Linked DNA regions of Stegostoma tigrinum. The protein of the gene in region 1 purifies or fractionates together with the protein of each later gene. This does not show direct contact. Links are inferred from orthologs where the notes say so. Each region holds a gene or a part of one and is shown in the gene's direction. Other genes may lie near its edges. The genes, in order: nup85, nup133 and nup37.

The links.
Region 2: the proteins of nup85 (region 1) and nup133 purify together in Homo sapiens (affinity purification with mass spectrometry; 5 studies listed by BioGRID and IntAct, with this or other methods). This does not show direct contact. The link is inferred for Stegostoma tigrinum from reciprocal best matches to the Homo sapiens genes NUP85 and NUP133.
Region 3: the proteins of nup85 (region 1) and nup37 purify together in Homo sapiens (affinity purification with western blotting; 4 studies listed by BioGRID and IntAct, with this or other methods). This does not show direct contact. The link is inferred for Stegostoma tigrinum from reciprocal best matches to the Homo sapiens genes NUP85 and NUP37.

What each region holds. Positions count from the first base shown.
Region 1 is NC_081375.1:37,003,021-37,014,075, forward strand, and holds the start of nup85 (nuclear pore complex protein Nup85), read left to right. Parts: upstream 1-6,404; 5' UTR 6,405-6,469; coding exon 6,470-6,508; intron 6,509-6,557; exon of another isoform or gene 6,558-6,657; intron 6,658-6,695; exon of another isoform or gene 6,696-6,836; intron 6,837-7,269; coding exon 7,270-7,360; intron 7,361-7,821; exon of another isoform or gene 7,822-7,950; intron 7,951-9,044; coding exon 9,045-9,228; exon of another isoform or gene 9,229-9,245; coding exon of another isoform or gene 9,246-9,263; intron 9,264-10,945; coding exon 10,946-11,022; intron 11,023-11,055. Other genes in the region: small ubiquitin-related modifier 3, read right to left, coding at 446-466. UniProt on the Homo sapiens protein: Essential component of the nuclear pore complex (NPC) that seems to be required for NPC assembly and maintenance. As part of the NPC Nup107-160 subcomplex plays a role in RNA export and in tethering NUP96/Nup98 and NUP153 to the nucleus.
Region 2 is NC_081362.1:765,998-776,417, reverse strand, and holds the start of nup133 (nuclear pore complex protein Nup133), read left to right. Parts: upstream 1-5,782; 5' UTR 5,783-5,839; coding exon 5,840-6,000; intron 6,001-10,129; coding exon 10,130-10,248; intron 10,249-10,420. Other genes in the region: abcb10 (ATP-binding cassette sub-family B member 10, mitochondrial), read left to right, coding at 1,875-2,130. UniProt on the Homo sapiens protein: Involved in poly(A)+ RNA transport. Involved in nephrogenesis.
Region 3 is NC_081371.1:60,076,343-60,086,843, reverse strand, and holds the start of nup37 (nucleoporin Nup37), read left to right. Parts: upstream 1-6,487; 5' UTR 6,488-6,593; coding exon 6,594-6,755; intron 6,756-10,501. UniProt on the Homo sapiens protein: Component of the Nup107-160 subcomplex of the nuclear pore complex (NPC). The Nup107-160 subcomplex is required for the assembly of a functional NPC.

The sequences.
Region 1 (11,055 bases):
AAGATGCAGTTGATCACGTGTATTTTGGTATAGCATGGCCATTACATATTAGTATATAACTTGGTCATTATATCTATCAGGCACGTACAGCCTGGGAATTTAGGTGACTGCAAATGGGTAGTCATTATTTTAAATACGCAGAGAGATAAACATGGTTCTGGGCTCTGGAATTCCCTCGACACGCCTTCAGCGCAGGGATTGGGCTCTAACTAAATACCAGAAATGACCACTCCGCCTGAACAACTGGGCCAGTGAGACTCAGGCCTTAGGCCTGGGCTCCTGCCGCTCCGAATATGGCGGCAAAATTTCAAACAGGGCCGAACGAGGGAGGGAGCGGCCTCCAACCAAACAACCAAATCCTGAAGGCCGAGAAACGAAGAGAACGACAGGAGGAAGGCGGGACTCCAACTGCTAAGCCCGAAGCTGCCTCATGCCGCCCCGTTACCTTAGGCTTTTCATCCGCCATTGTGTCTTCTCGCCCGCGTCTCCTCAGCACAAAGAGTCAGAGAGAGGGAGCAGGAGAATCGGGGAGGGGAGGCAAACGCGCGCCCCCGATGCATCTCGTTCGCGCGCACGCAAGTTGGCTGCAGACTACGTGCGCGCTCCCGCGAAACGGTCTCTCCCAGCCGGTTGGTAGATGGACCGGGAAAGGGGCGGGGTCCAAGAACGCGTTCCCGCCGGGAGGGACACGTGACCGCGAAGCGCCGGTTCTGAATACGTCAGTGGGTGCGCGTGCATGGACGGTTGGAAGAATGGCGGAGGGGCTTTGGGTCAGAGGGGGGTGGAGGGGATAGTGGCACTGGGTGAAGGAAAGGTGAAACGAGAAGAAGCAGGAGGGGCGGGCGGGAAGCGTGACAAAGTGGAGGCTCGAAGGATGGGGTTTGGAGGTGAATAAGGCAATTCCTTTTACCCCCCCCCCCCCGTTATTTTACAGGGAATTATCACTCTTTTCATGGATTTTGTGTGTTGTCATTCTCAAACCTGAAGCATGTAGAACTCTCAAATTCCTTCTATCCTTACTATTTAGAGGATCGAGGTAACATTATAGCCAATGCACTCCAAACAAGATGGATTGCATTCAGAACAGCGCAACTGACTGCATTTGTGCTTTAACTTCCATTACTAAGCTAAAGCTTCTTGAGATCAGTGCAGTTCCCTTTGCTTGATGAGTATTGCAAAAACCTAGTTGTTCTGAATTGTTGATGATGGTTATAGCTGCATCTAAAACACCCTGTTGTTCGGTCTCTGGGCATTCTTGGGATTTGTTCTTCTGTACAGTTCCCAATTCCGGTAATCTTTCAAAACTGCCAAGGGTGACGCTATCATATTATAAAAATCAAACATTACAGATTGAAGATCTGAAATAACAGAAAATGCAGGAGACAGCAGATCTGGCAGCATCCATTGAGATAGAAGATGATTTAATTCTCAAGTCTGATGTAACTTATTCAGAAAAGAGGAACAGGCATATCAGACTTGAAACATTAAGTCTGGTGAGTGTCTCTCTCATCACTACTTTTGACTATGAATCTCTGTTTCAAACTGACTATTGCACCCCATATCCCCACGAATGGTCTTTAAGTGTCATTACCATGACCAATGTCAAAATCATGCATTTTTGCATATCACTGATTGTCCTATTTGTACCATGAAAGCTGCTGAAAATGAATGCCTTCCCAAGAATATATTGGCTTCCAATTCAGGTTTCAAAATTGAAATTTTAAAAATTTTGAAATTTTAAATGCCGTCAATATCAGGTGACTTTCCATGATCGATACCTCGGTACAATCCAAAAATTTAAAGATGTGATTTGATTTATTATCATGTGTACCCAAGTACAGTGAAAAGCTTTGTTTGGACAGGTTGATCATAGGGTGTATCTGTAAAAGTTAGTGAGAGTCCTTATGGACATACCAAAAGCACTGCAAGTAGAGTTATTGCAATTTTGCATCTAAGACATAGGAGCAGGATTTGTCTATTCAGCCCCTCGGGACTATTCTGCTATTCTATAAGATCCTGACTGATTTTCCCCAGACCTCAACTATTTTTCATGTCAGTTCCTCAGAGTCCTCAACTGTTCTATATTTCAAAAATCTGTCTCTCTCCTCCTTAAATATATCAAGTGACCTAGTGTGAACAATTCTTTCGGGTAATGTCAGACATTCTTCCTACCAAAGTTTTTGTCCACTAACTCATCTACATCCCTTGAAAATTCCTTATGACTCAATTACACCATGCCTCCTATTTTTGTATCGTCAGTAAATTTGGATACATTCCTTTTTGCTTCTTCATTAACATAGATAATAAACAATTACAGCCCTAGGACTTTGCGCGCTCATCCAAATGCTCCTTAAGTGTTTTGAGGGTTACTACCTTTTCCATCCTTTTAGGCAGTGGGTTCCAGATATCCATTATCCTCTTTCTTTTACCCCTTAAATGTCTCTAAACTTCTTGTCGTAAAATTATGTCCCTGGTTACTAACCGCTTTACTAAGGGGAAACATTTCTCTCTATCTAATTTTTCACAACTTTGTACAGCTCAATCAGCTCCCCTCAGCTTTCTCTGCTGCAAAGAAAACAAAGCAGCTTGTGCTCCTGAGATGCTGCTTGGCCTGCTGTGTTCATCCAGCCTCACATTTTATTATCTTGGAATCTCCAGCATCTGCAGTTCCCATTATCTCTGAGCCTATCTAATGTTTCTTTTCATAGCTGAATTACTCCAGCCTAGGCAATGTCCTAGTGGATCTCCTTTGCACCTCTCTCATGATCTAACGTAATATACAGCTCCATTTAAACTTCTTGCACCTGTATTTAATCCCTTGACTAATAATGGCAATTATCTTACAGCTACCTTATCCTGCTGAATCTATGGATATGCACACCAAGGTTCCTCTGTATATTCTGGAGTCCTACCATTTAACGTTTATTCCCTTGCCTTATTAGTCTTTACAAAATACATCACACTTTTCAAGAAAAAATTCCATTTGCTACCATTTAGCTCATCTGACTGGCCCAGCAAAATAGTCTAGTAGTGTAAGGCTTTCCTTCTTGTTATTTACCACACCATCAATTTTCTTGTCATCTCTGATACTACAGATCTTACCTCCTAGACTCATGTCTAGATCATCAATAGTAAGAATCCAGCATGGAGCCATTTGGCATAACACTGGACACAGACTTCCAGTAACAAAAATCCCATAGAATCATATAGTTACAGTGCAAAAGGAGGCTATTCATCCCCCCATGCCTGCACCAGCTCTTCAAATTAGCATCACTGCCTTGCACCAACCTCTTGCGTTTTCCCTATATTCTGGCACACTATTTCCATCCAAATAATCATCCAATGACCTCTTGAATGTCTCAACCTAACTTACCTTCACCAGATTTCCACGCAATGAATGCATCCCATATCCCAACTACGCACTGTGTGAAAAATGTTTTTCTCACATCACCCTGTTTCTTTTACATATCTATGACCTCAGTTTTATTAATGTGAATGACTTCTCAGTGCCTAATCTATGTGACTGCTCAAGATTTTGAAAACTTCGATCAAATCTTAATCAGCCTTTTTATCTGGAAGGAGAAACAGTCCCAACTTCAAACTATTGGCAGCACAGTGGCTCAGTGGTTAGTGCTGCTGCAATGCAGTGCCAGGGGCCCGCATTTGATTCCAGCCTTGGGTCACTGTATGTTTGGAGTTTGCACATTCTCCCCAAGGTTGCCTGAGTTTCCTCTGGGTGCTCTAGTTTCCTCCTGCAATCCAAAAATGTGCAGGTTAGGTCCATTGACCATGCTAAATTGCCCTTAGTTCAGGGATCTGTAAGGTAGGTGGATTAGCCATGGGATATGCAGGGATAGGGTACGGTGGTGGGTTTGGATGGGATGTTCTTTGGAGGGTCACTGTCGACTCAATAGACTGAATGGCCTGCTTCCACGCTGTAGGGTTTATATTATTCTTTCTGTCCTCATTACTGAAATTTTTCATTCCTAGATCCATTCATTTAAATTTGCATCAGCAGTCTCTCCAATGCATACACATCTTTCCTAACTGTACACAATATTCCAGCTAAGGTCTAACAAATGTCGTAAGTGTGAGTTCAACATCACCGTTCAACTATCACCCCCCCAGACTTCCTGCCATTGTCAATTCCGGATCCAATTTCCAAAACTGCCCCCGATCCCATGAGCTCTTAAGCCATGAGCAAACCCCATGAACAAATTAACCAATTTGCCAAGTGAGACTTTGTCAAAGATCTTACCGAAGTCTGTGTAGACTATATAAACTGCACTACCCTCATCTACATGTTGCTAGCTTGGTCAATTGTGGTGCTACCAAGGCAGCCTGTTAATGGACGTTCAGTCCTTGGGCAGGGATCATCTGTGCCCTTCCTATCCTCAATGCTTCCACCAAGTCATATTCAACACATTAGAGCACAGGTTTGCTCAACTGAGGGAAGGTAGTAGGTGTTCATCGGCAGGAGGTTTCCTTGCCCATTTGACCAGATGCCTGAGACTCTCAGAGCCACTTCTCCCAACTGTATGCAAAGGTAAATTGCTACAAAGTAAACTTTCTTTCCTTATTCTTCCTGACTCTTCTGCAGCCGTTGACATAGTGGACCATATTATCCTCTCTTGAGGGGAGGCAATGGCCTAGTGGTATTATTGCTGAACTGTTAATCCAGAAACCCAGATAACATTCTGGGGCCTGGGTTCAAATCCTGTTTTGGCAGATGGTGGAATGTGAATTTAATAAAATATCTAGAATTAAGAATCTAATGACAATCATGAATCAATTGTCAGGGAAAAGCCCATCTGGTTCACTAATGTCCTTTCGGGAAGGAGACTGCCATCCTTACCTGGTCTGGCCTACATGTGACTCCAGGCCCACAACAATGTGGTTGACTCTGAACTGCCCCCGGGCAAGAAATGCTGCCAAGCCAGTGATGCCCTCATCCCATTAATGAATAAAAAAACTCTTCTTGCCTGTCATCCAGCTGGATGAGATTACTGTCACCTACTTGTGTTTTTATATATCTAAACACGGTTAAAAATCACATGTTCTCTTCTTGGTCTCACACTGTTACTTCTGGAGTCCCCTCAGAAATCGTTTCTCAGCTTTCTCCTATTTCTCATTTACATTATGCCCCTCAGTGATTACAACATTTGTTTTCATGTGTACATGCCACCCAAATCCACTTCGTCATTCTTGACTCCTCCACTGTTGTTAATCTATGAGACATTTATCACCTGATATGTGCATAGCTGTGCAGAATTTTTTTTCCAATATTGGGAAGATTGCAGCCGTCATTTTTGGTTTCTGCTTTAAACTTTGTTCCCTGGCTAGACCCCTTCCCTCTTCCTGGCTGCAACTTGAGATTAAGAACCTTGGTGTTAAATTTCACTTTGAGATGAGTTTATGTTCTCATAGATCTGTGCCATCACTAAGACAACTTATTAGTATGGAGATAGTAGGAACTGCTGATGCTCTGAGATTACAGAATGCAGAGCTGGATGAACACAGCAGGCCCAGCAGCATCAGAGAAGCAAGAAAGCTGACGTTTTCTGGAGAAGGTCCAGATCTGAAACGTCAGCTTTCCTGCTCCTCTGACACTACCTGGCCTGCTGTGTTCATCCAGCTCTACACTTTGTTATCTCTACTTATTAATATCATCTTTTTCAGCTCAGTTGTTATGGAAACCATTCATGCTCCCTGTTTACTTCTAGACTTGACCATTTATAAGCAATACTGGTTGTTCTCCAACATTGTTGCCTCTTTTGAGTTCAGGTTAAACCTAAGTCTTGACTCACACCAAGTTACACACCATCTCCTGGTTGTTGATCGACGTTGTCTACCACACCAGCAATGTCTTGATTTCAAAATTTTCAACCTTACTATCAAGTCCTTCCACCACCTCCAAATAATGTCATCTTCGATTCTGGTCCCTTGTGTGACGGTGACTGGATCTTAATTTCTGGAATATCTTCCCTCATCCCACCTACCTTATTTTCCTTCTTTAGGTTGCTCATTAAATAGTTTCTCTGATACAAGCTTTTGGTTTGTTTTAATATCTCTTAATGTGTCAAATATTGTTTTATGATGTTCCAGTGAAAAGTTCGTTTCATTACATTGAAGACGCTAAGATACAACTGACTCTGTGGGTTTGCTCCATCAGTGGAACAGGACAGACTCGCTAAAGGTGATTTCGGAATCTGGGCTATTAGCTGTTTTTCATCTTGGTCCAGTCTGTAGCACTGACCACGTTTTATCTGATGTTCGTTAATGCTGGGAAACTAGCGGAATTTTCTTCAACCGTCGCCGCTTGACAACATTTAGATCAGGCCCAGCATTTGTTGAAACCGCGTGTTTGTGGTTCAGTGGTGGATACAATCAGCTGATCAGGCAACTAAGAGGCCGCCCCAGTGATGGGGTCCTTGATGAGCGGGCGGCGCGGCGTGACCAAGGGAGCGCGATGGAGGATTCACTTCAGGAATATGAGCCGATCCCAATGGTGAGGGTGAGGGAGACGAAGAGGTGGGATTCGACAGAGGAAGAAAGTTTTTTTCCGATCGTCCATTAGACAGTGCCAGGAAGAGTGTCTCCGGAGCAGTTGTTGTACAATCGGATGGTTGTTCCCGTGTGACCCGGGACCGCAGCCTGGTAGAACATTTTTAGAGAGGGAGACCTACTCTTAAACAGAACCTCGAAACACCCCAAACTCTTTTGAGGTCCGCGGAGTATTTTCTTTGCGAAACTGCAGGGAAAATTGAGAAAGTAGAAATGGCCGAGGTTCTTTACAGAGGCAACGCGGACTGGTGGGCCAATTAATCTCCTGTGGTGTAACTATTCGTTGATTATCCTTTTCTACAACATGTTCGACACTTCAAAAATACTTAATCGGTTGTAAGCCAAATTGGGATGTTCGAGGATATGCTACTAAAATGCACGTCGGCCTTCCCTTTCGAAGTGCTGTTGCTGATGTCATGCGACGCCCAAATTGCTCACAGTTAGAACCTACACACATGAACATAACCAGATGTTCCGGTCTTAGTGATGCTGGTTGAACAAATGTTGGGTAGAATGTTGAAGTGAATTTACCTGCTATCTTTCAGTCACGTTCAAGGGTATTTTTGTATTCACCTGATGAGGACAGACATTTCTTTTGAAAATCAATGTCTGACAGATCAGCGGTTCTTCGGAGAGACAGTAAAATATTTCTCCAACAACAGAGTTTCAAATAAATAATTTTCTCTCTGTTGTTGTTGTTCCTAGGATATTCCAGGAGTGGATGTTGGAGAGTTCATCGGGTTTGAATGGGGCCCTACTCAAATGTTGCTGTATCCGACACGGCATGATCAGACAGGTACTGTGATTTTCTGATTATTTATTTTTAAACAACCTTAAGTAATTTAGAATAATGAGAAATTGCTCTTGTCCCAATCATTTTAACCTGACAAATTTTGGCATCGGATTTTAAAGCCTAAATGGAGATACTTCTGCGTACACTCCAACACGTGATAAAAGTAAGTAAGGATAAGAAGTTGACAAAGAACCAAAAGCAACGTGACATAATATGTATTGTTGTGACTTGAAATGAACTGCCTGAAAAAAGTGATGAAAATGGGTTCAATCATAATATTTAGAAATATGGAAGTTGATGGAAGATTAGAGAAATGGAATTAATTGGATGGCTATATTAAGGCAAAATGGGAGTAAAAACCATTTTTGTGTACAATATCATTGCATTATTCGGTCCTGGCACAGTTCACTCCAATCTATTTGCAAATATCATACATTTACATTTTTCCATTTCGTTGACATGAGAATGAATCGTTTGGAATAAAAATTTCATTGACTGAACCAAAAGGAAAAGAATGGAAATAATGTAAAATGAATGGAAGATCCATATCTATCAGACCCTGCATAGGGAGCAGGATAGAGAAATAGCTTAAGGTAAGCATTAAGCCCATGTGTTACAGTACAGACTTTTTTTGGGAGCGTGGTTGGTTCACCATGGTATTGGGGGTACTCCAGTTGCATGAGACTTGACTGCTTTGAAAGTTAGTGTCAAAAAGGCATCACAGGATTTGAATGTCATTAAAGTGTGAAGTACCATAGGATGTGTATGCAGAATTAGGCCGTCCAGCCCATCAAGTCTGCTCTGCCATTCGATCATGGCTGATATGCTTCTAAATCTTCTCCTGCTTCTCCCCACAAGCCTCGATCTCCTTAACAATCAAGAACCTATCTATCTCTGCCTTAAATAAATCCAATGACTTGGCCTCCACAGCCCTCTGTGCCGTTGAGTTTCAGAATCACCACCCTCTGGCTGAAGAAATTCTTTTTCACCTCCGTTCTAAAGGGTCATCCGAGGCTGTGCCCCAGGTCCTAGTCTCTCCTGCTAGTGGAAAGATCTTCTTCACATGCACTCTATCTAGGCCCCTCATTATCTTGTGACTTTCAGTGAGTTCTCCCCAAGGCCTTCTAAACTCCATTTGAGTGCAGATTCAGAGTACTTGACCACTCTTCGTACAACAAACCCTTCCTCCCATGCTCGTTCTTGTAAGCCTCCTCTGAGCCCCCTCCAATGCCAGCACATCGTTTTTTAGATACTGGGCTCATGAATTACTTTGCTGAAGGGAATAGCTGAGACAAATAGCGTCACAAAATGTTTAAATAATTAAAAAGAAAGATACTGCTTTGGGGATAGAGTCAATCAGTGGGACTGATTTGGATAAAAAAGTGCACGGTGGTATGTGGTAAACTGGTGAATAATATTGGATTATTCTGATTAAGTGCAGTGATATAAAAGATGGACTGTGAATATTTTGGAAACTGGTCGCTCCCTGGTTGAGATCAACTAAGAAAATAGATTTGGAATCAAATGTTAAATTTTTCAGACTCATGGCTTAGTGCTGTGATATGTTGTGGTTTCATTCACTAGGTCCTTACGAGAGCCATTTCTAATTGTTCTGACTAATCAAATGTAGCTGAAAAGCATTATTGTCTGGTATGCTTTATGCAGACCATACATTTGCATTTCCCAGCCCTCCTTTCTGTTCATACCCCAGAGACTGCACCAGACAGCTCCCCAAGAATGCCCTCCATTCAAGTTGTCTACAGCGACAAAGATATATACTCACCAATTCTGTGTAAACTTTTCAACGAGTCACATGGCATCTTCATGACTCTTCAGAAATCCAAACACGATTGCACAACCCAGAGAGCAGAGTGAGTAGAAACGGACTTCAAGATTTTCTTTTACTCTGAAATATAACACATGGCTTACTATCTTCAGGTATTTTGCTTGTTGCAAAAAACTAATACGAATTAACTGGGATAATAAAATGTGAGGCTGGATGAACACAGCAGGCCAAGCAGCATCTCAGGAGCACAAAAGCTGACGTTTCGGGCCTAGACCCTTCATCAGAGAGGGGGATGGGGAGAGGGAACTGGAATAAATAGGGAGAGAGGGGGAGGCGGACCGAAGATGGAGAGTAAAGAAGATAGGTGGAGAGAGTGTAGGTGGGGAGGTAGGGAGGGGATTAATTGGAACTGGTTCTCCTTTGCAGTATCTGTTAGTGGGTATAAGAAACACAGGCTTGTATTTGTAGTGTACTTTCACAAGCTTCTTTGCATCTCAAAAGCAAAGTAGATCATTATGAAGTGTGGCGACTGTGCAGTAGGAAATTGTGAAGGCTAGTATGAGAGGCTGACAAGATCCTTTGTAGATCTGTAATTGTCTTCTCAGGCCAGCTAATGGAAAATGGCAATAAAATGCCTGAAGTAAATTAAACACTAAGGAGGAAAACTGAAGTGTGAGACAAATCCTATGGGTTCTTTAAAAATATTTTGAGCATTGACTAGACTCCTCTCAACATACACATAAACACACACACCACAGTGAATAAAGTAATTGAAAAATTGTAAATGTAACAATAGTAAGTATACTATAAATATGAAATAAAATGGAATATTTTGAACATTTTGGCATGTTTCAGTTACATAATGAGAAAACTATAAATGATCTCTGTGCAATAGAAGAATGAAAGAGAGAAAGTCATAATTACAAATTCATCAAGGTAATGAGAGTTGTGGGAATATTAATTTTATTAGTCAATGATTGAGAACTGAGTCACAATTTGAATTGAAAGGGGCAGTGTGAATTTGACAGTGATGGGACGTGTCTAACTGATTTATTGAATTTCTTGAGGTAATCAATAACAATTGCTTGTGCATGTTGTCTTTCTGGACTTTGGCTTGATAAATTTCCACGGAATTCTTAATCAAATTGTACGCACACAGAATTATGAAGGTACCGTAACCTTGTAAATTGGGAGTTAGGAGACAGAGTCGAGATAGAAGGCCTTCTGATTGACAAGATGTGACTTGATGTTCTGTAAGGATTTACATGTGTGTTTTTGCTTCACAAATATCACTGAAGGAATAGAGAGTTGGATATGGAAGTTTGCAAATGACTCCTTTTCGTGATTCAGGAAGTAGTACACATGAATGAAGGGAAATACCAAAGGACATTGATTATATAAATAGCACTTATGAGGTGTTCTGAAGTCATTCACTTTGAACCCAAGAAAGATGAACTGGCATATTTAAAACTTGTGGAAGTTGTAAAATGTGGATGAACAGAGGATGCAGTCCTATTACTTGAGTCCAGTTCCACATGTTGATTCTTTCTTGATGTTATTGTAAATGTGCCTTTCATTTAGTTTTATTTTTGATCCTTAATCATAATGTTACTGATTATTCTGGATTTGAGTATCAGATTTACTCTCTTCTGTGCTTTTTTTTGTATCATGTATGTATGTATGTATGTATGAAGTCTTTGTAAACCCTGAAATGCTCCAGCCAGTGTTGACATTCCATCGAATGTTGATGGTTGTGTTGTCAAGTTTTATTTCAATGTAGTAACAGATGCTTTTTGTTGTAGGTTAGTTTCTATCAGCAGGAACTATCGTTCAGTGATAAGAGCTTATCTGGAGGAACTGCATAGCGCCGCAAAATCTGGTAAGTTGCAAATTACGATGTGAGGATTTTACT
Region 2 (10,420 bases), on another chromosome or scaffold:
TACACTTTCAAAAATCCACCCTGTCTAACTGTGAGTGCCTTATTGTGAAAAGATTAATGTTGAGTAAAGAGGCTCCACCTCTGGAGCTGCTGGAATCTCTGGCAGTACCAGACCTGGGTAATGGGCACTACTGGAACTGGAATTGAGTCCCAAGAAGAAGGCTGAATGGAATCCTGGACCCAGGCTAGTAGGGGGCTGTGGGTTAAGAGGGATTGTCCCCCTTTTTGTAGTGTGTGCTGGGGGATGAGGGGCAAGTATTAAAGTATGTGTGGGCAGGACAGAAGGTAGATGGGTACTGTCTCTGGGCCACTGCCGCCAACACACGTCGAAATCCCTTATTACTGTAACCCTATTCCTGTCACACCTGTCATTTCTCTCTCCCTCTGATTGTTGGGAGGCCTGTAATACAATCCCAGCAAAATGATCGTCTGTATTGGTTTCTAAACTCTGCCCAGATGGCCTCATCAGCGTCTCTAATTTCCCACATATTGTAGGAGGAGCACTGCACAAAGCCAAGGTCTCTTGCCATTGTGAACCTTACCAGCAACAAACAATAAACTAGGAACAAAGTAATCAACCGTATCCACTACGCTGAAAATCTGATTTCTCTTTATCTGTCTTGCTCTATTCCGAACAAACTGCAGACCACAAAAATAAGGACTCCTAACACGCGGTCTCACTCTCTGTACTATCTACTCAGTCCCTGCAGCTGGTCCCCAAGCAGCCAGGGTTTTCACCCTGTATCACCTCAGCAGCTCTGCCCCTGGATTCTGTGTAGGTTCATTCCATTCCTGAGCTGCTGCTGCTCTGATTGAGTTTGATCTGTGCCCTGCCCTTCAAGCTTTTATCAGGAAACTCCACTGCCACCGTCCTACCCCCAGGTTCACTCTGGTTCAACTAATTATTTAAATAAATGTGTGGCTTATTAAAATGGGCCTAAATTTCAGGATTTGGGGAATGAAGTAAGCAGTTAAATCAGTGTTAATATATCCTATGCACCCTATCAGAAAGAATATATTTTTGGAAACTGTATGGTTTCAGTAACTTGACAGCAGTTTATTCGAAGTTAAATTTACTTTGATCTTGATCTCGAGTGAATTTAAATTTCATTTGGACCATAACAGTCAGATGATTCTGTGTAAAAGTATAATGTTCGTAGTCTGCAGGAGCTCCTCCACCCTCATTAATCATCACTGTTCCCATCGTGGAAGGTGTAACTCTTGTCCTCTCATTACCTGTCTCCTCACTTTCCACAGCTCCAAACACACCCTCCGGATGAAGCAACATTATACTACTTTCAATCTAGTCCACTGCATTCATTGCTCACAATGCGATGGTCTTTATATTGGCGTGTTCCCTTTTCTGTCCTGGTCCTTCTACCATGTTTTAACAAAGCTCCATGCAAACTGGAGGGACAACACCTCATTTTCTGCTTAGCACCTAACAACCTTTAAAACTCAACATTGTGTTTAAGAACATCAGAGGATGGCTTCTGTTATTTTTTGACTGTGACTGTGCCCTATTTGTGGCTAATTTGCTTCACTCTCAACAGTGTGGACCCATGTTCTCCTTACTGCATCTGTCATTTCCAGCTGTTCTAAAGCTTGCTACTTTACCACCTAATTTCTGTCTATTGGTCTAGGCACCATCATCATCTGTTCCATTCACACTATTACCCCCTCTGTCAGATGCATTTAAAAAAAAAACAAAATTTTCCACTCCTCTCAATTCAGAAGTTATGCAATTTCAGCTCTGTTAATTTGTCCATAGATGCTGCAGACCCGTATTTTTCCAGCATTTTCTGATTTTATTTTGATTAATTTGATTTTTGTTTTGTCTTATTCATTTTGCTGTTACATTTCTTCTCTCTAAAGTGCACTGGATTCGGAGAATGAGTATTTGGTGCAGGAAGCTTTGGACCGATTGATGGTAGGAAGGACTGTGCTGATCATTGCCCATCGTCTATCAACCATCCAGAATGCTGATGCTGTTGCAGTCCTTGACCAGGGCAGGATAGTTGAGTGTGGTACCCACCAGCAACTCCTCTCAAATTCAGATGGATTATTTCGCAAGCTTGTGGAGAAACAAACTATTTCACAAAACCACCAAAAACTTGTGTTGAAAGTATAATGCTCCCAAATGTTACTCCTCTTAGGAAAAAAAATACCTCCAGGTCAAAACAGCCGAGAAATGCCTTGGATTCTGACTAATCGCAGCACTGATTATTAAATAGGTTATGAAACTTGTAATTCTGAACAGTGTTCAGGATCTCAGCTGTAGCAATGAAGTAAATGGTGAAAGATATCAAATGTGAGCCACAGAATGAGGAAGCCTGCGTCACAATCTATACAGTTTCTCCATGGCCTTGTTGGACAAGTCTTCAGCGTGAGGTCTCATACAAGGAAAGGTTGACAGTGACTCTGGGAAAGATAAAAGCAGATTTTTAAATTGCCAAAGCTTCTCTTTGCCACAGTTTTAAAAACATTTTTAATCTATTTTGGGAACCATCTTTTAAGGACGGAGTAGTCTCACATTTGTTCTGTAACTTTCTGCAGATGGTACAAGGGATACTAAATTCCTTTGCGATAATGAAGTAAAACACTTGAAATAGTTGGTGAAACTCACCATTGTACAGACTGTATTTTGTGAAATGTTTGATTAATAGATGAAGTGTGATTGAACAATCAATCCTGAGTGGTTATAAATATGAATTTAATTGCTTCACAAAAGTTTGACCCTTGAGAATCTGTAGTATCAATTTTACAGTAAAATTAAAACAATCAATTTCTGACCTATTTTAAATTGAGTCTTTGTTTACTTCTCATAACAAAAGAAATTTGCTGGAAAACTTAGATGTGGCACCAGCTGTGGTGAGAGAGCATAGTGAACATTTCAGGTCCAGTGAAACTTCAGAAGTATAGTTTCCCATGCTGAAGACAACAGGGATGCAGCTTCTGAAACATGGCTCTGGTGAATGAGAATGGGAATCAGGTCGACTGAGCAAAGGACCAAAGAATTTACAGAAAAATTGGAGCCCAGCATCTTGAGAGCTTTCAGCTGAAATGAAGAAGTGAAATTAGGAAAAGCAGCATGACGATGTATTGTTAGCGACAGAAGATGAAAAAGCAGGAAAGAATCAGGTTGGAGAAGTACTAGACAGATTAACAACATCAGAAATTGAAAGGAGGGAGAAATAACAGTGTCATATGCAATGCTGCAAACATGTGGAAACTTACCTACTTGTGTCCTGTACCCACAAAGCAAGACAAATCCAACTTATTCGTCTACTTGCATCAGTGAAATGATCAAAGGTGTCATCAATTGTGCTTTCAAGCAGCATCTGTTGAGGACCACTTAGTTGAGTTCTGCCAGAGCCATTCTGCTCGTAACCTCATTTGGCCATATTTGAATCAAAGGCTATAAAGAGCTGAATTCCAGAGGAGTGATAAGAGTGACAGCCCTTGATATCAAGGCCACATTCAACCAAGTGTGGCATCAATTAAATTGAATAGAATTAAATTAGCCTTGTTGTCATATGTACTTAAAATGAACAGTAAAAAGTTTATAAATCACTACTTACAGCACCACCTTTAGATACAATCCTTAGTTATAGAGTAGAAAAAGAAAGAAAAAATGTTACATTACAGCTATACATAGTACGACCATGGTCAGAAAAATAAGAAACACCGTTAAAAAGACAAACATCACAGTCTCTCCACAGCATTCCAGTGCAGGGGGCTTCCACACTCCACACTGGGCCACTGGTCCCTGCTGTAGCCACTAGGAGCCCCAGGCAAACTGGAATCAATGCATGTTGGGGCCAAACTTTCCACTGACTGGAGTCATACTGGGCATGTAGAAAGGTGGTTGTGGTTGTTGAAGTTAAGTCATCTCAGCTTGAGGGTCCTCAGGGTAGTGTACTATATCCACCCATCTTCAGCTGGTTCAATAATCTTCTCCATCATAATGTCAGAAGTGGGGATGTTTGTTAATGTTTGTAGTATTAAGATACTGAAGCAGTCCATGTTCAAACACATCAAGAGCTGGCAAGTAACCTTTGTGCCAGGCAATAACCATCACCAGTAAGAGACAATCTAACCATCGTCACTTGACATTCCAACAGTATTACAATCACTAAATCTCTCACTATCAACATCCTGGGGGTCATTGATCAGAACCTCAACTGGACAAGCCACATAAACCCTGACTTGAAAGCCGGTCACAGGTAAAGAAAACAAAACCTGGAACTTAAAAACCTACTGATCGACATGAAATCATTGTCGAATGTTGGGGAAAAACCTGTCTGGTTTACTTATGTCCATTAGCAAAGAAAATCTGCCACCTCCTGATCTGGCCTACAGCAATGTGGTTGACTCTCAGTTGCCCTCTGAAATGGCTTACCAAGCCATTCTGTTGCACCATTCACTACAAAGTCTCAAAGAAACAAAACCAGACAGATCACCTAGCATCAATCTAGGCATCGGAAAAGACAACACCAGAGACAGCCCTGTTGACCCTGTAAAGTCCTCCTCACTAACATCTGGGGGTTAGTGCCAAAATTGGGAAAGCTGTCTCACAAACTAGTCAAGCAACAGCTTGACATTGTCTGTAAGATATGATTCTGTGAGTATGACTACATCCCGGATACCACCATCACCATCCCTGTATATGTCCTGTCTCATTGGCAGGGTAGACCCAGCAGAGGTGGGGGGCACAGTGGTATACAGGTGGGAGGGAGTAGCCCTGGGAGTCCTCAACCAGAGACACAGTTTAAAAATAAGAGGTAGGCCATTTAGAACAGAGTTGAGGAAAAACTTCACCCAGAGAGTGGTGGATATATGGAATGCTCTGCCGCAGAAGGCAGTGGAGGCCAAGTCTCTGGATACTTTCAAGAAAGAGATAGATAGAGCTCTTAAAGATAGTGGAATCAAGGGTTGTGGGGATAAGGCAGGAACAGGATACTGATTGTGGATGATCAGCAATGATCGTAATGAATGGTCTACTCCTGCACCTATTGTCTATAACAGTGACTGGTCCCCAAGAGGTGTCCTGGCTTTAGGTCAAACATGGGCAAGGAAACCTCCAGCTGATTACTCAGTAAGTCCATTAATATCTTCTCCAAGAGCTTACCTACCACTTACATCAGGCTCAGGGGCCTAATAATTCCTGGATTATCCCTGCTTCCTTTCTTAAACAAGGAGACAACATTGGCCAATGTCCGGTTTTCTCGCCATGGATGCTGTCTGACCCACTGTGATCTCCAGCATTTGTTGTTTACAGTTCAAGTGCCAGGATCTGCAGTAATTTGGTCCTATTTGTTATGCCATGGTCTGCTATTACACACTAGCCATTGATGGCAGTCAACAGAGCTATATATTCCCCTAGGCTGACTGTCTTCACCTTGGTCCGACCGCTCTCTCTCTCTCTCTCTCTGGGATAACAAGGGGCACAGCAGGTCAAACAGCATCACCGGCAGCTGTTGACCAATGGGAGCTTCCGTTACAACGGGTGTAAAGTTAGCACCAAGATAATAAAATGTGAGGCTGGATGAACTCTCTGATGAAGGGTCTAGGCCCGAAATGTCAGCTTTTGTGCTCCTGAGATGCTGCTTGGCCTGCTGTGTTCATCCAGCTTCACATTTTATTATCTTGGATTCTCCAGCATCTGCAGTTCCCATTATCTCTAAAGTTAGCACCAATCAGGAATGTGTTTATATCGTCCATGCCCCAATGTGACCAATCAGACTCTGCAGTGCCTGGCGGGTCACGCAGGCGCAGTGGTTTGGCGGCGAGTGCGGGAGGCCTGAGGCCTAAACGGCGGGGCCCGCGCTGTCTGCAGCATGTTTTCCCCGCGGGCTCCTGGTGGTGCCAAGCGGCCCCCCTCAAGTTGCTTTGGGTCGCCGCTGACCCGGAGCGGCGGCGGCTTTCCCGTGCAGGGCCGGCGCAGTGTGTCGGCCAGCGGCGTTTTCTCTCCGTCCTGGCGCTCCAGCCTGTGCGGCCGGTGAGTGTTGTCAGGGCTGCATTTGCCTGGCGCCTGTCACGTCCCTGGCACGGCAGGATCCCACAAAACACTGTGCGACACTAACCACCTTAATCAGGGGAGCGCGGTGCTGAAATGTTGTACAGGCTGAGTTATGGGGAAGTCTCTCGATGCTCCTGATGAGCACAGGTCTCACCAGCTTTGACTATCACCTGGTCACATCTGGACATGTTTTTAAATTCACCTCCTACCATAAAGTGAAGTGCAGTCAGGGGATGGGCGAAGGGGAGTCGCGGGGGCAGGCCTGTAATGAGGAAACCCCCAGGGCGTATCTCACACGCCAGCAGATTTTGTGCTAGAAAAGCATCAAAGTGATGCTACCCCTGCACAAGATAATAAAATGTGAGGCTGGATGAACACAGCAGGCCAAGCAGCATCTCAGGAGCACTGAGATGCTGCTTGGCCTGCTGTGTTCATCCAGCCTCACGTTTTATTATCTTGGAATCTCCAGCATCTGCAGTTCCCATTATCTCTACCCCTGCACAAGTCCAGGGCTGGGAGAACAGAAGGAAATGGGGCGGCACGGTGGCTCAGTGGTTAGCACTGCTGTATCACAGTGCCAGGGACCTGGGTTTGATTCCACCTTCGGGCAGCTGTCAGTGTGGAGTTTGCACGTTCTCTCCGTGTCTGCACCTCCGGGTGCTCCGGTTTCCTCCCACAATCCAAAGATGTGCAGGCTAGTTGGATTGGCCATGCTATATTGCCCATAGTGTTCAGGGATGTGGAGATTAGGGGGGTGGGTCAGTATGGACTTGTTGGGCCAAAAGGCCAGTTTTCACGCTAGGGATACTATGAAAGCAAGGGCAGTAGTGTTGAAGACTTAATAGAGAGCAATTTCTGTGGTTGTGACACTAGGATAGTGTGTCAGCTTCTTGAGGACAGGGTCAAGGATGTCACTGAACAGCTTCAGGGCCTTTAGGGGTGTACAATAAGGTTATGGTTCATAGATAACACTAATGCTGAGCTGCAGGAACACAGGAAGTCAGGCAGCATCAGAGGAGCAGGCCTTCTCTATCTCCACAGTGTGTTATCTCTGACTCCAGCATCGGCAGCTCTTTCTACTTCTGAGGTTGTGGTTCATATTGATGCCAGGGACATGGGTAGGAAGAAGGATGCAATCTTGCAACAATATTTTCAGGTAAAAGATGAGTGGGTAGAAGCAAGGTGGTAATGTTGCAGTATTGATCAAGGAGTCACTTTTTGAGGTTTTTTGTTCTTTTACAGAAGGATGATTTCTTAGTTCTTTAATTGAGGCCTTATGGGTAGAATTAAAAAACAGCAGCAATCATAAGAACTAGGAGCAGGAGTGGGCCATCTGGCCCCTCGAGCCTGCCCTGCCATTTAATAAGATCATGGCTGATCTTTTTGAGACTCAGCTCCACTTACCTGCCCACTCACCATAACCCTTAATTCCTTTACTGTCCAAAAATTTAGCTAGCCTTGCCTTAAAAACATTCAGCAAGGTAGCTTCAATCACCTGATGGAAGTGTACGAGAGGACCCTTTAATAATTAGGCAAAGGTAGAAGTAATTTCAGAGATGTGCAGAAATAATAGAGGTGATGATCATTGGGATTTCAACTTTTCCAATATTAAATATTTGAGTACAAGAGTCGGCAGGTCATGTTGCAGTTGTATAGGACTTTGGTTCGGCCACATTTGGAATACTGCGTACAGTTCTGGTTGCCACGTTACCAAAAGGATGTGGATGCTTTGGAGAGGTTCCAGAGGAGGTTCACCAGGATGTTGCCTCGTATGGAGGGTGCTAGCTATGAAGAGAGGTTGAGTAGATTAGGATTATTTTCATGAGAAAGACAGAGATTGAGGGGGGACCTGATTGAGGTCTACAAAATTATGAGAGGTATAGACAGGGTGGGTAGCAAGAAGCTTCCTCTCCCCCCCCCCCCCCCCCCCCCCCCAGAGTGGGGGACTCAATTACTAGGGGTCATGAGTTCAAAGTGAGAGGAGGAAAGTTTAAGGGCGAAAAGCGTGGAAAGCTCTTTACACAGAGGGCGGTGGGAGCCTGGAACGTGTTGCCAGCGGAGGTGGTAGACGCAGACACGTTAGCGTCTTTTAAGATATACTTGGACAGGTACATGGATGGGCAGGGAGCAAATGGACACAGACCGTTAGAAAATAGATGACGGGTTAGACAGAGGATCTTGATCGGCGCAGGTTTGGAGGGCCGAAGGGCCTGTTCCTGTGTTGTAATTTTCTTTGTTCTTTGTTCTAAATGGTGTAGACAGAGTAAGAAAGATTTAGACAGGGCAGACCCACGTGAGATGTATCCTGGGCTGCTGTGGGAGGCAAAGGGGAAATTGCTGAAGTCCTGACTTTAATTTTCAGTCCTGTCTGGCCACGGGAATGGTGCTAGAGGACTGGAGTACAGCTAATGTGGTACAGTGGAGTGGTAGGGATAAACCAGGGAACTGTAGGTCAGTGAGCCTAACATCAGTGGTGGGACAGAGTTAATCTTCATTTGGAGAAGCAAGGAGTAATCAAGGAAAGCCAGCATCGTTTTGTCAGGTTGTGCTGTAGGAGTTTTTGAAAGTATGGTGAATGGAACTCAGTATTGGAAAGTGTAACACAGACAGGTAATCCTGGCTTTAATAAATTGGTATGATCCACATTTAGGATAATGCAACTATTCAAAGGAGCATTTGGAACTGTTGAGAAAATAGAGATTACACAGTGTGAAGCTGAACGAGCACAGCAAGCCAGAAATGTCAGCTTTCCTGCTCCTCTGATGTTGCCTGGCCTGCTGCATTCCTCTTGCTCCACGCTGTGTTATCTCAGACTCCAGCATTGGCAGTTCTTACTATCTCTGAGAAAATAGAGCGTTTGGATAATGTGCAACATTTATTTAAATCATGCATATTCTTTGGAAGATGTGAAATGAGAGGTGATTCACTTACTTAATCTAGTTGTAAATGGACTAGGTAATGTTTGTGCTAGTGGCTAAATTCAAAGCTAACCTCTTTACCTTCAAAGAGTAAGTGATCAGTTTATTGTGATGAGGGTTTATGCTAGATCAATTTTTGGAAACTTGGGTTCTGAAGTGAACAGATCCAAATGTAGCTTTAAGTTTGACTTGTACTTTCAGGAACGGAGAAAACATGGTTTTAGTTACAGTTTAGATTTTGAGTTCTGAGAGAGGTGCTGGGTTATTGATTATTTGTTTACAAGTGTTTATTTTAGGCTGTTTAAATATCCCTTGTAGTGAATAGTCCGTTAGAACACAAAGGGAGAAGAAACTACTCTTGCATAGTGACAGGAGTTTGGTACCGCAGAAAGATGTTGACCTAGGCACCAGAAACAGCAATGGCAAACACAACCCTTTTGATCCATAAATTCTTCCTTACCACCATCAGGAGAGATGTATCAAAATTTGGAAAGTTGTTCTGTAGATTAAATAAGCAACAATCTGACATAGTTGTACTGATGGAATCATACCTTTCAGATACCACTACCACCAGGAGAGGGATTCAGTTTTCCTCCTCAGCATATGTTAGCCACAGAGTTATGATGTAAAGTGACTGGTTTATTCAAAAAAATGTTCAGGTGTCATGCAGATTAACAGCTTCAAGCACAGAATGTGGACTTTTGTTGACTTCATACATTTTCAAATACTTTGTATTGTTCACATGACAATTTGTTTCAATGTACTGGCAAAGTTGAATTCTATCATTCTGGCACCAGTATTGCAAACTTGGTTTTTCTTTAGAATTTGAATAACGTTATCTTAGTTTCGCAAATGAAATTTAGTTTCCTTTCTCACTCAATAGTTTGATATCTCTGTGTTTGACCTCTCTGGTATTCCCTAATCTCTGTTTATATTACAGTGAGATTACACAGATGCTGTTTACTATTGGACTCATCTGAAGTTTACTAGAAAAAAAAGTTAGCCGTTCTGAGCTCTGTGTTCCTTTGGCCCTGTGAAATTAGTATTTTTTTCTTGTAGAACATTTGCTATTGTTTCTGACTGATTTGCTAAATTTGAACGGTAAGAATATACTTAGGCCAAGTATGACTGCATTTGTTTCAAGTATAGTAATGGAGAACTTTGACTGGAATTATTTTTTCTTCCTCAAGTCCAACTCCAACCAGAGGAGCACAGTATCAAACAGTTGGCGAGACGCTCAACTATGAAATCAGGAGTTTTGGATCTTCTCTTCCTGTTAAGGTTATGGAGGCCATAACCCTAGCTGAAGGTAACTTTGTTTTATTATGGTGTATAAATAATTGATTTTGGAGCTTTTGAATCACTAAGTGTAATGTTTCCTGTACTCACTGAGGCAGTAAAGTTTGCTTTTCACCTTAAGTGTAAAAAGTTTAAATTTTGTTTTATTACTTTTGAAGTGTTTACAGGAATACTGGACTATC
Region 3 (10,501 bases), on another chromosome or scaffold:
AAGAGCCAGAATCTGCGCTTAACTAGTGGGAAAGCCGCACATGACTTATTAGACATGGGCAAAAAGGAAACAATAACTGCATTAAAATGCTACATAAGTGTAAGCTGAAGATATTAAGTAACTGATGCACACAAGATCAGTTAAATTCTCCTTTTCTTCAGCATAAAGTAAAAAACACTATTACACAACACTAGCTTAACTCCAGTTGCATTGGTCACAGTCGATTAGTCTGAAGCCACAGACATAATAGGAATTAATGCAACCCTTGCAGAAAGTTCAAGTTAAATTCCAGCCTTGTAATACTGTACATTGCTGGCAGACATCCCATGGTGTCAAACCTAGTTGGATAGTAAACCAACAAAATGCAAACAGGGAAAGAGTTCTGCAAAGCAAGTGTGACATTTGCCAGAAGTTAATTCTAATAAAAACTTGATCATATGGAATGAGACTACAGCATAGAGGGAGGAGACTATTGAGCATCATGCATTGCCTGGCAATTTTGAAAGGGCAATCCACTAAGTCTTACACTGCTAGTTGTCCTTTTGGTTTGTGCATCCCTTCAGAACATTTGTTGAATCTGTAGTGCATAGGATATCAAGCTAGAAACCAAGATGTCACAATTCATGATCCAGAGATGAGATGAGAGTTCAGATTCCAACACAGCCAAATAATACTGCCAATTTAATTAATTCAATGTGGGGTGTGGGCTACTGTCCTACTACTTTTAATTAGTATCTTTATTGATAAAAGGATGCATTTTTAAAATGCTATTCTCATTGACTAATAGATTTCTAGACTCCCATCTGAGTCACTAATGTTCTTAGAGAAGGAAGCCTGGTATCCTTAATCCAACCTATGTGACTCCAGACCAAAAGCAATGCGATTGACTATTTGTGCACTCTGAAATGATTGCAGTCCAAAGTGAATTTATGACCACTCGAATACTCTGATGGCCAGATCCTGCAAACGAACAGTGTTTTAGTTAATCTCTGCTATCCAGCATGGTCAATTATAGGACAATTCCATCCTCTTCTCAGTCAGCTTTCATCAAATCATCCTGTCAATGCCATATTAAGTGAACAAAGGGACAAAAGACATTGAAGTTAAAGAACTGAGCCAAGTTTGGCACTAGGAACCTATTTTCCTACCAGAGAGTCAGCTCATAAATGCTGCAGCATTTATATAACACTAGAGATCACAGCAAAACATTCCTGGCGACCCTCCTTGAACCACAGCAGTCAGTCAATGTCATTATAGCACTGGATGTGAGTTTGCTCACTGAGCTGGAAGGCTAGTTTTCAGATGTTTTGTCACCATTCTAGGTAACAGTGAGCCTCCAATGAAGCACTGGTGTTATGTCCCACTATTTATCTGTTTAGGTTTCCTTGGGTTGGTGATGTCATTTCCTGTTTTATCCCCAAGAGGATGGTAGATTGGCTCCAAATCAATGTGTTTGTTGATGGAGCTCTGGTTGGAATGTCATGCTTCTAGGAATTCTCGTGCATGTCTGTTTGGCTTGTCCTAGGATGGATGTGTTGTCCCATTTTTCCATCACCACCCTTGTCCGCTTTCTGGAGGGACCAAGAAAATGGGACTACACATCCATCCTAGGACAAGCCAAACAGACACATGAGAATTCCTAGAAGGATGGCATTCCAACCAGAACTCCATCAACAAACACATTGGCTCCAAGTCAATCTACCATCCTCTTGGGATAAAACAGGAAATGACATCACCAACCCAAGGAAACCTAAACAGATAAATAGAAAGTGGGACATAACACCAGCACTGATGTCACCATTCTGGGTAACAAAACATCTGAAAACTTACCTTCCAGCTCAGTGAGCAAACTCACATCCAGAGCCTCAACCAGAGTTACAAATCTTAACATTATGGCACTTCCAGAGAAGTTTAGGAAATTACCTCTAGGATCCTGCATGGGAATGTCACTGAACCTTGTAGAATATAGAGAGGTCTGAATAGAGTAGACATTTCCAAGAGTAGAGACTAGGACCTCAGGGACAGTTTCAGAGCAAAGGGCCAACCCTTTAGAACTGAGATGAGGAGGAGTTCCTTCAGCCTGGAGGTAGCAACTCATGAAACTCATTCCCGCAGAAGACTGGAGGCCAAATTATCAGGTGCCTTTAAGCCAAGATCTTGATTAGTAAGGTGGTCAATGGTTACAGGGAGAAGGCAGGAGATTGGGACTGAGAAACACAAGTTAGGATCAAAGGCAGAGCAGATGCAATGGACTGAATGGCCTAATTCTGCAACTATATCTTATTGTCACTATGCAGTATGAGACCAGTTTAAAGCATGTCCAAGGGAAATGGCATATGATTTGGCAGAGTTTGGATAAATGGGAAACTATAAAGGCCAGTGCTACTTCAATCCATCCCTTGGAGTGATTAAAGGACAGCAGAATGCCTGGCCAGATGTCTAGTCCCAGTCTCCACCCTTTTGCATTTTATTAAAAAAAATTAAATCTAACCATTTCCATATACACCATTCCTGGAGACATTTTATCAATTTTGTAATTTGGTCACTAAAGTGACTTATCCACAAAATAGAGCAGGATTGAAGTAGATTCAATAGCTTTCAAAAAAGTTTAGATTATATACCAGCACCAACCCACAGTAGCAAATCAACAAGGCCCTGCTACACTCTCCAAAACTCATGACCTCAACTATTTAGAACATCAGCAACAGATGCTTGGGGAAACCCTTGCCTGTAAATCAGAATTTTACATCATGGGATTGTCTTCCAGCCAGTCATCAGGCATCTAATCCCTTGTGTTCTACTTCAAACTACATGCCACCTTCTATTATCACCCTCCATTCTGCATGGCTGGGTCAAAATTCTAGATATCCACAGCATGCGTAACCACAGCTCTAAGGCAGCATCTCAGTGCTTGAAGTAGTTCTGAAGGGCTGGCCCAGCCACTGACTAGTCATTTTCAGTGACTGGGAGCAGGAAGAGTGGCACTAAATTGATAAACAGAGAGCTTGTACTAAGCTAAAAGTATCAGTGCCCTCTTTTGAGCAGCACAGCTGCTAACTGTGCCAGGGTCCCAGGTTCAATTCTAGCCTCAGGTGACTCTCTGTATGGAGTTTGTACATTGTCCCTGTGTCTGTGCAGGTTTCCTCCCATAGCCCAAAAGGTAGTGAATGAAACCTTTGAAGAGCAGGCGTGCATGCTGGAATGGATAGAGATAGACGAAGCTGATGTGCTGAAAATTTTGTCAAACATTAAGATTGACAAGTCGCTAGGCCCGGATCAGATTTCTCCTCGGCTGCTTTGGGAAGCGAGAAATGCAATTGCTTCGCCACTTGCGAAGATCTTTGCATCCTCGCTCTCCACGGGAGTCGTACCTGAGGACTGGAGAGAGGCAAATGTAATTCCTCTCTTCAAGAAAGGAAATAGGGAAATCCCCGGCAATTATAGACCGGTAAGTCTCACGTCTGTCGTCTGCAAGGTGTTAGAAAGGATTCTGAGGGATAAGACTTATGACCATCTGGAAGAGCATGGCTTGATCAAGTACAGTCAACACGGCTTTGAGAGGGGTAGGTCATGCCTTACAGTTTTTGGAGGATGTGACTAGAAAAGTTGATGAGGGTCAAGCTGTGGATGTGGTGTATATGGACTTCAGTAAGGCATTTGATAAGGTTCCCCATGGTAGGCTCATTCAGAAGGTCAGGAGGAATGGGATACAGGGGAACTTAGCTGCCTGGATACAGAATTGGCTGGCCAACAGAAGACAGCGAGTGATAGTAGAAGGAAAATATTCTGCCTGGAAGTCAGTGGTGAGTGGAGTTCCACAGGGCTCTGTCCTTGGGCCTCTACTGTTTGTAATTTTTATTACTGACTTGGACGAGGGGATTGAAGGATGGGTCAGCAAGTTTGCAGACGACAAAGGTCGGAGGTGTCATTGACAGTGTAGAGGGCGGTTGTAGGCTGCAGCGGGACATTGACAGGATGCAGAGATGGGCTGAGAGGTGGCAGATGGAGTTCAACCTGGATAAATGCGAGGTGATGCATTTTGGAAGGTCGAATTTGAAAGCTGAGTACAGGATTAAGGATAGGATTCTTGGCAGCGTGGAGGAACAGAGGGATCTTGGTGTGCAGATACATAGATCCCTTAAAATGGCCACCCAAGTGGACAGGGTTGTTAAGAAAGCATATGGTGTTTTGGCTTTCATTAACAGGGGGATTGAGTTTAAGAGTCGTGAGATCTTGTTGCAGCTCTATAAAACTTTGGTTAGACCGCACTTGGAATACTGCGTCCAGTTCTGGGTACCCTATTATAGGAAAGATGTGGATGCTTTGGAGAGGGTTCAGAGGAGGTTTACCAGGATGCTGCCTGGACTGGAGGGCTTATCTTATGAAGAGGGGTTGACTGAGCTTGGTCTCTTTTCATTGGAGAAGAGGAGGAGGAGAGGGGACCTAATTGAGGTATACAAGATAATGAGAGGCATAGATAGAGTTGATAGCCAGAGACTATTTCCCAGGGCAGAAATGGCTAGCACGAAGGGTCATAGTTTTAAGCTGGTTGGTGGAAAGTATAGAGGGGATGTCAGAGGCAGGTTCTTTACGCAGAGAGTTGAGAGAGCATGGAATGCGTTGCCAGCAGTTGTGGAAGCAAGGTCATTGGGGTCATTTAAGAGACTGCTGGACATGTATATGGTCACAGAAATTTGAGAGTGCATACATGAGGATCACTGGTCAGCACAACATTGTGGGCTGAAGGGCCTGTTCTGTGCTGTACTGTTCTATGTATACAGTTGGGGTAATTTGGCATGGCCAATCCACCTAAGTGTCCAGGGTTGTGTAAGGAGATATATCATACATAAGAGGCCATGTCACTAGCTTGGGGGGGTGGGGGGGGGGGGGGGGAGAAAACAAATCAGGTGGACTCAAAGCTTACACAGTTTCAGGCTGTAGGAACACAGCAAGTCAAGCAGAGGAGCAAGAAAGTCAACTTCTTGGGTCAGGGTCCTCCATCAGGTTCCTAGATGGATTTGGAGTTCAGAACTTAATGGCAACCAATAACTAAAGGGTCAGCAACAGTTTTTCTCCCCACCCCCAATTAAAACCCACCCAAGACTGAATTTATTCCATTAAAACTTCTCCAGGTTATTACAAACAGCCTGAGAAAGTAACCATATAACCTCAGACAGTACATTCTAAATCCACAACCACTTCCACCCAGAAGGGCAAGGGCATCAGATACATGGGCCTGGGTCAAATGCTGACAAACAGGACTAGGTTTAGGATATTTGGACAGAATGTACAAGTTGGACTGATGGGTCTATTTCTATTTTATATAAATTTGACTATGACTCAGGGCAGCATGGTGGCTCAGAGGTTAGCACTGCTGCCTCAGAGCACCAAGGGCCTAGTTCAATTCCACTCTCAGGCAGTGTGTTGAGTTGACACATTTTTCCCCCCCATGTTTGCATGGGTTTCCATGCACTCCAGTTTCCTCCCACTATCCAAAGTGTTGCAGGCTAGGTGGATTGGCCACACTAAATAGCACATATAGTGTTCAGGGATGTGGGTTATAGGAAGAATGAGTGGGATGCTGAGAGTGTGGGTGGGGATTTGTTGGGCCAAAAGGGCCTGTTTGCACACTGAACAAAGTTTCTATATGAACACCACCACTAAGTCACTCACCAGCCTGACTTGGAAATATCATTGTTCCTTCTTTGTCACTAGGTCAAAAATGCTGGAATGCCCTCCCAGAGGGTCAACCCCCTGTTGTATTCAATGCTTTGACTAAAAGGCAAGCATAGAAGTGTGGTTGACTCTTAACTCTTAAATGCCCCCAGCAGTTCAAGAAGGCAAAAATCACCCCCACCTTCTCAAAGGGCAACTAGGGATGGGCAAGAAATGCTGGCCAGCAGTGCCCACATTCCACAAGTGAATAGAAAAAACCTTCATGTTATGCACTAACCAATACCTTTCCCGCGAGACACAAAAAAAAACACCCGTCAGTATCAGTAGTGTTTAAAAATACTTCATTCAGCATATATAGGCAGACAAGTTCTCGGTTCAATACACTGGAATTCTCGTAATAAGGAGGCAAACGCGAGCATTTTGCTATTGTCTCCAGCTCAATAGCATGGTTCAGGCAATTTGAGGCTCGCCGTTGAAAGCGAGCGACTCCTCAGTTCTTGTACTCACCAACTGTCACTTGCGCAGACCAGCTCCCAATCTCCAACGACAGTGCCCAAGCTCTCACTGGCTCTGTCTCACTCACCAACCAGCCCTGCCTGAAGTCAGCACTAACACAACGCCTCACTCTACATCCCTCTCTTCCCAACTTAAGGGTAAAGATAGATCCCACACGGACTTTTCACCCACACCCAACTCCAGGCCAATTTAAAAGTCCCGGGCCGGAGCAGCTGTAACCAATCAGAGCGTTGCCGTTACAATGTTGCACTTTCCTCCCGGAAGCGAAGCGGAGGCAGCCAATCAGCGACGAGGGGTTGTGTCTGAACGTTCCATTGAGGGTTTTCCTGGCGAGTCTGAGCTTTCCATCGGGGATTCCCTCCAATCTCCCCGGGTTCCGGGACTGGAAAGCGGAGACGACGATGATGGTGAACGAGGCGGCATCGCGGGGCGCCACGCACACGGTGCCAACCGACGAGACAGTGCACGTGGTGGAGTTTAACCCTTTCGAGGACTGCGGCACTGGCAGCCTGGTCGCCTACGGAGGCGACAACTACATCGTGGTGGGGAGCTGCCGCTTTCAGGTGGGCTGTCCTGGCAGGTTCTTTTCTGGGAACGTGTGACTGTTTTGGGGACAGGGAGGTGGTGAGGAAGGGATAAGGAAGAGAAGTAGGTCGGAACCCATCTAGTGCCACAGAAACAAAGCTGCACTGAAACATCTCTTTGAGGTATGCTCATCTTGAAGAAGATCTGCTCCTCTCTCCCACAGGATTTCCATTCTAATCTTTTTTCTTGTTTAGCTGTTGATTTTTCGAGGCCGACCTGTATTCATTTGTCTGCCCAAGTATGTTTTTTTCTCTCTGCCTGGGTTCCCTCTCCACGTATCGTTTACTTCTACCCCCACCCTATCTTCAGCATTTTTATAAACCTTTTCCTAGCTTAAAATCAATTCTGAAGATGGGCCAGTGAACGAGAAACGTTAATTCTGCGTTCTCCACAGATGCTGCCAGATCTGCTGAGTGTTTTTTCCCCCTCCATCAGTTTCTGATTTCCAGCATCCACAGTTCTTTGGGGTTTTTACCTTCAACTGAGTTTTGTGATGCTGTATGCAGAGCAAGGGCCACCGAACAACAATTGAGCTGATCAAAACATAGCGTGGGTGCAGTACTCCCTAGGCACCTTACAAGCAATGAATGGGTTTATTTTCATTTCCGGGATTTTCTGGATTTATTGGTCCTCCCTGGAACTGGGTGGCTTACAGAGGGCAGTTAAGAGCCAACCACATTTCTATGCTTGCCTTTATTAGTCAAAGCATTGAATACAACAACAGGGAGATTATGATGGTGCTGTACGTAAGATCAGGCCACAGCTGGAGTACTGTGTGCACCACCTTATAGGAAAGATGTGCTTGCACTAGAGAGGGTGTAGAGGGTATTCACCAAGATTTGCCTGGGCTGGAAGGATTCAGCTATAAAATCAGGCTGAACAAAAACAAAGTTGCTGGAAAAGCTCACCGGGTCTGGCAGCATCTGTGGAGGAGAAAACGTTTTGGGTCCGATGATCCTTCCTGAGAACTGATGGTGGCTGGGAAAATGTCAGTTTATTTGCAGAAAATGGGGAGGTAGGTGGGGTAGGGAGTAACCGATAAGATAGACCCCAAAGAGAGAGGAAGACAGTTGGACAGACAAAGGAGTTGCTGACGATCAGGCTGGGTGGGTGAATAGTTGCTAATGGGGATTGTTAGTGACTAACAACAGGGGGTGTGTAATGGCAGGCTATGTGGTAACAAGGCCTGGTGTGTGGGGTGGGGGGGTTGGGACATGGGGGAGTTTAGGCCCTAAAATTATTCAATCAATATTGAGTCTGGAGAGCTGTAGGGTCCCCAAGCAGAAAATGAGGTGTTGTTCCTCCAGCATGAGCTGGGCTTCACTGAAACACTGTAGCAAGCCGGAGACAGAGATGTTGGCCAGAGAGCAGGATGGTGCATTGAAGTGGCAGGCAACTTCAGGGTCTTTTTTGCGAGCAGAACATAGATGTTCTACAAAGCGGTCGCCAAGTCTGCGCTTCATTTCCCCACACTGGGGAGAGGAGACCACATTGTGAGCAGTGAGTGCAGTAGACTCGATTCTTGGAAGTGCAGGTGAAGTGTTACTTCACCCAAAAGGTATGTTTGGGCCCTTGGATACTGGGGAGGGAGGAGGTAAACGGGTAAGTGTTGCACCTTCGCTGGTGACAGGGGAAGGTGCCTTGGAAGTGTGGAGAGGTGTTGGGGGTGAAGGACGTGTGAATCAGGGTGTCCCAAGAGGGAATGGTCCCTGCAGAAGGCGGTCAAGGGAGGGGAGGGGAGGGGAATATGCTTCTGGTGGTGGCACCTGGCTGGAGGTGGCAGAAATGGCATCTGATGATCTTCTGGATGTGGATGCTGGTGGGATGGTAGGTGAGGATAAGGGGAACCCTATCGCTGTTGCGAGGGGGAACAGAAGGGGTGAGGACAGAAGTGCGGAGATAGGTCAGACTCGACTGAGGGCCCTGTCGACAATGGAGCTGGGGAATCCTCGGTCCTCTAGAAATCAGTTCCTCCATCTCCGTCGCATATGTTCAGATGAGGTGAACTTTCACAAGGGAGCCTCAGTTCTTCCGTCTCTGTCGCATATGTTCAGATGAGGCGCACTTTCACAAGGGAGCCTCTGAAATGTCCACATTCTTCCTCGCCCGAGGATTCCCCAGCTCCGTTGTCGACAGGGCCCTCAATTGGGTCTCACCCATCTCCCGCACTTCCGCCTCACCCCTTCTGTTCCCTCCCGCAACAGCGATAGGGTTCCCCAAATCCTCACTGATCACCCCACCAGCATCCACATCCAGATCATCAGACGCCATTTCTGCCACCTCCAAACACATATTCCCCTCCCCTCCCTTGTCAGCCTTCCGCAGGGACCATTCCCTCTGGGATTCCCTCATTCACACTAGCTTCACTCCCAACACCTCCCCACACTGCCACGGCACCTTCCCCTGTAACTGGCCAAGGTTCAACACCTGCATATTAACCTCCTCCCTCCCCAGTATCCAGGGGCCCAAACATACCTTCCAGGTGATGCAACACTTCACCTGCACTTCCCAGAATCTAGTCTACTGCACTGGCTGCTCACAATGTGGTCTCCTCTACATTGGGGAAACAAAGTGTAGACTTGGCGACCGCTTTGCAGAACATCTAGAACCTGCCTGCAAAAAAGACCCTGAACTACCTGATGCCTGCCAGTTCAATGCACCATCCTGCTCCCTGGTCTATGTCTCCGTCTCTGCTTGCTACATTGTTCTAGTGAAGCCCAGTGCAAGCTGGAGGAACAACACCTCATTTTCCGCTTGGGGACCCTACAGTCCTCTGGGCTCGATATTGAGTTGAATAATTTTAGGGCCTAAACTCTCCCATGTCCCAGCCCTCACCCACACACCAGGCCTTGTTACCACATAGCCTGCCATTACACACCCCCTGTTGTTAATCACTAACAGTGCCCATTTACAACTATTCACCCTCCCAGCCTGATTGTTAGCAACTTCTTGTCTGTCCCACTGTCTTTCTATCTCTTTGGGCTCTATCATATCGTTTACTCCCTACCCCACCCACCTCCCTATTTTTTGCATATAAACTGACATTTTCCCAGCCACTATCAATTCTGAGGAAGGATCACTGGACCCGAAATGTTAACTCTGTTTTCTTCTCCACTTGTGTTGCCAGACCCGCTGAGCTTTTTCAGCAACTTTATTTTTGTTCCTGATTTACAGCATCCGCAGTTCTTTTGGTTTTTGTTTTGGATAGGCTGAAGTTGTTTTCCTTAGAGCAGAGAAGGCTGGGGGTAACCTGATTGAGGTTACTTAAGGAGGCTTAGACAGGGTAGATAAGTGGAAATAGTTCCCTTTAATAGAAGCATCAATTACCAGGGCTCACAGTTTTAAGACAGGGAGGAGAATACTGAGATACAGGCTATTAGACTAGATGGCATTGAGGTTCACAAGGAGGAGGTGTTAGCAATTCTGGAATGTGTGAAAATAGATAAGTCCGCTGGGCTGGATGGGATGTATCCTAGGATTCTATGGGAAGCTAGGGAGGAGGTTGCAGAGCCCTTGGCTTTGATCTTGATGTTGTCATTACCTTCAGGAATAGTGCCAGAAGACTGGAGGATAGCAAATGTTGGCCCCTTGTTCAAGAAGGGAAGGAGGGACAATCCTGGTAATTACAGACCAGTGAGCCTTACTTCGGTTGTGGGTAAAGTGTTGGAGAGGATTATAAGAGATAAGATTTATAATCATCTAGAAAAGAATAATTTGATTAGGG